Coturnix japonica: one gene and its partner. The protein of the gene in region 2 purifies or fractionates together with the protein of the main gene of each other region. This does not show direct contact. Links are inferred from orthologs where the notes say so. Each region holds a gene or a part of one and is shown on either strand. Other genes may lie near its edges.

The links.
Region 1: the proteins of TRIM33 (region 2) and SKIL purify together in Homo sapiens (affinity purification with western blotting; 4 studies listed by BioGRID and IntAct, with this or other methods). This does not show direct contact. The link is inferred for Coturnix japonica from reciprocal best matches to the Homo sapiens genes TRIM33 and SKIL.

What each region holds. Positions count from the first base shown.
Region 1 is NC_029524.1:17,517,112-17,520,762, forward strand, and holds part of SKIL (ski-like protein), read right to left. Parts: 5' UTR 3,238-3,651; coding exon 2,131-3,237; intron 1-2,130. UniProt on the Homo sapiens protein: May have regulatory role in cell division or differentiation in response to extracellular signals.
Region 2 is NC_029541.1:3,871,293-3,874,943, forward strand, and holds part of TRIM33 (E3 ubiquitin-protein ligase TRIM33), read right to left. Parts: intron 3,309-3,651; coding exon 3,190-3,308; intron 3,083-3,189; coding exon 2,935-3,082; intron 1,482-2,934; coding exon 1,349-1,481; intron 308-1,348; coding exon 191-307; intron 1-190. UniProt on the Homo sapiens protein: Acts as an E3 ubiquitin-protein ligase. Promotes SMAD4 ubiquitination, nuclear exclusion and degradation via the ubiquitin proteasome pathway. According to PubMed:16751102, does not promote a decrease in the level of endogenous SMAD4.

The sequences.
Region 1 (3,651 bases), on a different chromosome or scaffold from region 2:
GGTCACTGCAGTAAGCTAACAACCCTCTGCAGTATGGAACAGAAGTACCTTAGGTACATCAGAACGCATCATCTTAAAGCATTTCTGTGCGTGTAGGATTTGGATAGCAGCCCTCCTTCTGTTTGTCTCAAGGACCAAAATTAAACTTTGACTAAAGTTACCACTGATACTTAGTGAAAGGTGTCTGGTCCTATTTACAAGACTCGCAGCTGAAAAACTGATTCCTAATTTCATCGTACTAAAATAGTCTTGGGACTGGGGTGATGTCTACACCCACTGAAACCCCTCATAATGTGAATGTGAGTGGGTTTTCCCCCAGTGTGATCAGCTGCCACCAGCCAGCAGCCACAAAAAGTCCATATTCACACACCCAGAAACAGACTGTGACAGAACCTCACCTCTGGCAGCCCAGAGTCTGCAGTCACAGCAGCACGGCCTGTATCAGAAGTCACTTGACCACAACAAGGTGTCAATCCCATCTACATGAATCTGGTCAAAACGTCAAGCCTGCTAAATTCAAAGTCTAGCAATGCAACTGCAGCGTAACCCCACCCATGCAGATCCTCAAATCAGCTCCAAAAGGAACAGAAAGGAGAGAGGACACAAGGAAGCTAAGCTCCAAAACCCTTCATTCTCATTTCGTACGCTGCTTAATAACAATAATAAAAACAGCTACACAGGTCTGTAATGGAAGAATCCAGAAAGGGTCTTTGTATTTCATTTGTATGAACTGCAGTCCAGTCCAAACTGCTGCTGTGAACTTCAGCTGTTTTTTCATCTGTCTATAGGAAACTGAAACCGTGGTCACAAGTCTGCTAACAAGAAACAGGAAGCAGCCTGCTGTAGTCACACCTACAACACATTTCCACCGATGCCACAGTTCATTACCTGTACTGGCTCTGCAAGGACAAAGGCTGTCATGATAGTGAAGCCTCCTTGCTGTGAGCTTACCTGCACCTCCAGCTGATTCAGCATGTGCAGGAATGCCATACAGCAGGCTATTGTGGGAATTTCCTGATCAAATCCCTTACAGCACACTGGCACAACTGTAGCAGCAGCTGTTACTGCAGTAATCCTTTCTGTAACACTAAATGTCCAGAGCTGTGCTGGAAGGTATCATCTCACCACGTACCTTTTTGAGCTCACCTGCTTTGAAATCCAAGACAAAACATCCAACAGGTGAGCTGAGAAGTTTTAAGTTTAGATTATACTCAATAAAATTGCATATTCTTCGAGTGCAAACATCCATGCTGTCATCACCCACGTGTTCCCTCATCTAATGAGCTGGCTGCTCTCTCTGTTCCCTACCAGCACTTCTAAAAAGCCTATTCCTTGCACATAACACGAATATTTCCCCAGCAACACCCAACATTTATCTGGTGTTTATTATTTAAATTAGAAGCCCTCTGAAGGAAAAATAAGCTCTGTGTTTTTGAACTGCACTGCAGACTTGCAGCAGTATTTTAGGAAAAAATACTATGTCTATTATTAACCACTGTCAAGATACCGTCCTACAGCTCTTTACTTGGACTGCTTCAGAGCTCCTCTCTTTTGGCATATTTCTCCATAGAATCTGTTTAAACAGAAAGCTACTGCTGGACAAGGAGGCTTCAAGCTTCTAACAGGAGCTTATCGATGTGTCCTTACCTACATGAAACGCCATGAGATGGGTGGTTGGCAGGCCAGGCAGCCATACACCATATGTGTGTGTGTGTGTGTGTGTGTGTGTGTGTGTGTGTGTGTGTGTGCTGGTGTGAATGCAACAAATAACAAACCAATTGGTAACACTCGATTTTCAAGCTCCTTTCGGCTTTGTTCAGCTGCTGCAGCACATACCGCATAAAACACATTAAAAGATTTCCAAATTAATTCTGAACTTCCCAGAGACTGCTTACTTTAAAACGGAACAACAACCAACAAAACCAAACCATCTAGAGCCCAAAGAGGAAAGAAATCTCTATGCCTTTTCATCAGAAATGCATTTCCATGGTGAAGCTCCCTCATGAAATTCATTTAGGCTTGGCTTGACAAGCGTTCCCATTTACAAGAGGCAAGCACTGTGCTTCCAAAAGGACCATTTTAGGAGCAGGCAAAGAGATTTAGGAGTTCTACAAGAGCAGGTGAACTTACTTTTGATCGAGTTCTTTTCTGGTTTTTCTCACTAAATTTCTCCTTCATTTCCTCCAACAGATGCTTCAGCTCCCGCTCCTCCGACGTCCCCAGGTACTTCTGGTTAATATGAAGGTAGCAGTGCCACTTGGCTGACTCAAACCCCCAGTGGCAGGTCCTCTTGTCAGGGGATCGATGTGAATGCATCACGAAGGTCTGGGGTGAGAACATCCCATAGCACTCCAGACATTGGATACAGGGGTCATCCGGCGCAAGGTAGAACTGAGGTGCAAACAAACCCTGGCACTTGCCCAGGCACTCGTGCTCTACTTCGAAGGCACTGCCAGTCTCCTTCAGTTGGGCCAATGTGTTCTTAGCAGGGAGAAAGCTGCTGTTCTGAGGAAAAGTGCGAGGACGTAGTAAAGCATTGCATAGTCTCTGAGCGTCAGTCAGTGTAATGAGCCCGCAGGAGGGAGCATTAAATGGAAGAATCCCCAGAACCTTCAGAATATGAAGCTGGTCGGAAGTGCACCTGGAGCAGTATATGTACAGTTCATCACACACGGTATTGATCTGTTGCAAAGAAAAGTCTCGAAGAACTGAATTCAACACCTGAGGCAGGCAAAGTCTTTTTTCTCCTCCGACTTTAAAGCAAGAGATGGATTCCCCCTCCAGCACAGTCTGAGTGAGCTCTGTGGAGCTGTCGGGAGGGATGAGCAGCGGAGCAGACAGGATTTGAGGTGATGGGAGAGGCAAGAAGACGGTGGGTGACATGCTCTCCTGGGAATAGCGAGCTGAGAAAGCTGCCGGTCCACCCAGTGAGCTCTGGCTGCTCAAGTGGAATTGTGCCAACGTGTGTTTCAGACCTGGATTTAAATTCAAAGGCTCGGAGATTGAAGAACTATTTGGCTTGGCACTCTCCCCGTCAGCCTCCACAGAAGTTTCGTCATATTCGTCCAAGTTTTCCTTCTTTATTGTTGGCAGTTTATTTATTACAACTCGCACTGGGCTGTTGACGTGCATTTCTGTCATTAGTTTCTTCAGCGGGGGGCTCCCATCCTCTTGGATCCCACTCCTCTTTTGCTCTGAAACGAGCCCTAGAGGGAAATTAGTCTGCGGGCTTTCCATCGCTGAACACCAGAACTGTAATTAATGACAGTCTCGAGCGTCCATTCTCCTCCTGCTTAGACAAAAAACGACTTGAAGTCAACTCGAGTCCCACAGTCACACCCCGCTCTGCACTCCTTTAATTCTTCAGCCTCCAACAGCAAAACCTGCAGCCCATTTTGAACACAGACTAAAAACACTAAGTCTGCAGTTCTACATCCATTTGCTCAACTGTCTTTTATAAGAAAATGCCGTGATTCGTTTATGTTCTTCATACACTGCCCACAGTCACACAGCGGAGCTCCAGGAACCAACGAGGTGCTGCAGAGCGTCCATTCGTGGCCGCTTCTTTCTTTCAGAAGCAGGCGCCGCAGAAGTAAGTCTGTATTTCAGTATTAAAACAGAAACGCTCTCAGCTCCGTAGGATCCCAACCG
Region 2 (3,651 bases):
CAGAAACTTTGCCACAGGCACAAAACATGACAACGCATTATTCCCATGCACTGTTACTGGCCTTGAATCCTTATCACAGAATTGTGTAACATCTCTTGAGCTTTCAGTTTCTTTCTTTCCCACATACTCTTCTAATCCCTTCACTCATTAAGCAGGCAATGATTAGAGTTAACTATTTTGGGGTATTTACCTGTTCTGAACTTGTGTAGCTGCAAAATTGACATAGTTCTTCTTTTCAAGAAGTTTGGCCAACAGGTTCTCAATTGCACCCTTCTGGTTCTGGAAAGCTTCTTCTAGAAACTGATACCTTTTCAACATACAGAAGAAGATCCCAATTAACAAGGACCGATAAGGATCCCCAGTTCAGATGTAAAGCTACAGTGACCATCAAAATTTTGATAATATGATAGATACAATAAAAATACAGAAACAAATGGGATCTTACATACATATACATACACATACACACGCATGCACAGTTAAATTTACTATTAAAACCCTCTGTAGATGTCCAGAGGACTGTATGTGTATGAGTCCCTCAGTTCCAGCTACACAGGGAGACAATGCACCACATCATTTCACAAGACAACAGTCTACGGAACCCAGCTAAGTGACACCATTCAGAGTCTGACAAATGATTGTGTTAACACTAGATGAGGAAAATGCAGTAGTGGTTTGTTATATTGTTAATTGTCATTAAACAACAGCCAACCGTTTATGAATTGTTAATCTGTTAGCATCAAGCACAAACAGGAATGAAAAGGAACTAGAAGAGATTAGTTAAGATATCCTTGGAAAACAGGCTTTCTTGAGAAGAGTGCATTTCAGAACATTTATGATCAAGCCTATGACAGAATGCAGCAGGAACACAAGGTTCATATTCTAGTAGTGGTAATATAAAAAATGAAAGTTCTCCAGGCTGCTCTTACAATCTATGACATTAATTACTGCACTGGAAAAAGAAACTAACAGAAAAACTAAATTCATACTTCCAAGCACCTTCATAGAGAAGTATTACTGGTAGACTAACTTGCTGGTAAACATGTATTTTTATCCCCAGATTCTCTATTATAATACTGCAAAGTGCTTTTTCAAACCTATGAGCAACGATATGACCAAGATGCTGAAAAGGAAGAAGTCTGAACATCTCTTAAAGAGACTCATCACACAGCTCAGCTGATGGATCACCTGAAGTTTCCAGCACCACATACATGCTCTCCTTTGTGAGGAATTATGTCTGATGGAGAGTTAGGGCAGCAGGTCAAACAGACACAACTGTTTGAAATCAGTCGTATTTCTTCCTCTGAGACAGCGCACCACAGGAGGTAAGACATGGTAATATTTGTACCTGTGTTCTTTGTGCTCCAGTAACTGACAGTCTCTGCATGTCAGCCTGTCACATGTTTCACAGAAAAGTTTTAACTGCTCTTGTTTGTGGACAGGACAGAAAACAGGACGTTGACCAGATGCTCCCACGGCCTCTGTTTTTAAAAATAAACCATTTTTGCATTTTAACATAAATTTAAGACAATCTGAAGTGCAAAACTACTCCCTTCCACGCTAAGCAAGTAAGAACCAAGAATTCAAAGACAGCAAAAGAACTGCTCTTACCCTGAAATAACCACAAATACATTCTTATGACAATAGTTACAGTGCCAGCGTTCTGTAGCTGCCCCCACTTTTCTTGTATTCAAAATGAAGGAGGAATTTCTCTCTCCACCAAAACCACTCAAAAGACACTGCAAGGACTGCTGGTACACACTTGCATTTCACACTCATGTTAATAGATGAAATCAAGATAGACTGAACTTCTCAAGCTTTTACACTGTCAGAAACTTACAGATCTTCTAAATTATCACTCCAAAATCTTTATAAACTCATTAAGTCATGCCCAACTGAAGTGGTAAATGCAGAGCTAACATTCTTATGGGTCATAAAATTACTTAAGTCCCAGCTAAGCTAGAGAACTTTTCCACTTAAACACAAAGATACTGTTGAAAACACTTCTGGATTTACTAAAAAGGTGTTGTAAAGCTTTTTTGAGCTTGGCACAGAGGAAAGCAGCTTCTGGAAGGTACAGCAGGTAAAGCTTAAAACAAGTAAACGCATCGTAGTCCCCAAAATTTCTGAAGGTTGTTACGACATGCAAGTTATGGTAAAGAAAAAGAGCTCATGAATTGAAAGCTGACACAGCTATGTCCCTGCCATATGGACTTGCCATCAGACTCCACCTTCATAAAGTACATTACTGGAACAGTCATTTCGGGGCACCCCCCACTCAGTGTACATGGGGTTATATTATCACCCTGATGGCCACAGCAGTCCTAATGAAAAACATTACCAATCCTCTGCAGAGTCCTCTCATCTGACTTAACATTAATTGGTAAGTGCTTACTAGGGTTAATGCATTTAAAGTCAAATAATCTTAAAAGTCTACTTGATATAGCAAGCAAAACAAGATCATTGTCCACAGGAACTAAGCTTAGCAGTAATAGTTTTTAACCACTAATAAGATTTTGCCAAAACCAATGGCAGAAAGCAATGCAGCGTCACTACTCTGCAATAGCGCAACAGAGCAATCATGAAGATTTTAACTTATTTTAGATGGAAAAAAACAGCAAATCTGAACCTAACCCCTTTATACAGGGAGAGTTATATCTACCTGCTCTGGGAATGCTTGCCCCATTACTTCAGTAGACTGCAAACAACACTGTCAATCAGTAGCTGAGTAATTAACCTTTCCTAATGAAGCTGCATGTTTAAATTGCACATTCACAATGCACATTCATTTTTGCTAACCAGGAAATAAAACCTAAGAATGAATTCAAATTCCAATTGACTCAGCAACATCAACGCAGCTGTAAGACTATACTGAGCATGACTGTAAGCTTATCTGTATACACAGGCAGGACTAAACGATATCCAAACACTCACCTGACGATACATCCTCTTTTTTTCTAATCATGTGATCTTTAGTAAATTTCACTCGCTGATGAGCTTCTATGCAGGTCTTGCACAACCACTCCCCACACTCGACACAAAACCCAACAGCACTAGCATTATCTTCACAGCTTGTGCACACCTGCAAAGGGAAGAAAGGTCAGCTGCCATCACTTTCCTGGAAAGCATTAACATACACAGGGAAAAGAAACCAGCATGGGAATCCCAGCAAGCAGAAAAGCACCGTACCTGTTCTGATTTCTCATCAGAGCTGCTTGGTGTTTCTGATGTGTCTTTTACAAAGTAGTTATCCACCAGATCTATCTGCCTGCATTCTTGGCGGCATATCGGACATCTGATTACCCCAACTGAAAAACACAAAACGTTTCTTAGTTATAGGAAAAACAAACACAAAATCCTCGTGCTCATTTCAGCCATCGCCAACGCAGCCCACAGCGTTCTTTTAGTTTCCCCAGGTCTGCAACATGGGGAGTAAAAAAGCACCCCAAGGTAAAACAGACACAGAAGTCAGTCAGAAAGGGTATGACTGGAGTGAACTGAGGAGGAAAAGCAACCTCATTCTGCAGCAAATCACAATGCAAACAGAAAATGTTGTTAACATACAGCTGACAGCAAACAGGGAAGCTGCCCTTCTTGGCCAGGCCTGCACTGAGCACCAGGCCCAGCGTGACACCTGTGGGCCTCAGCAAC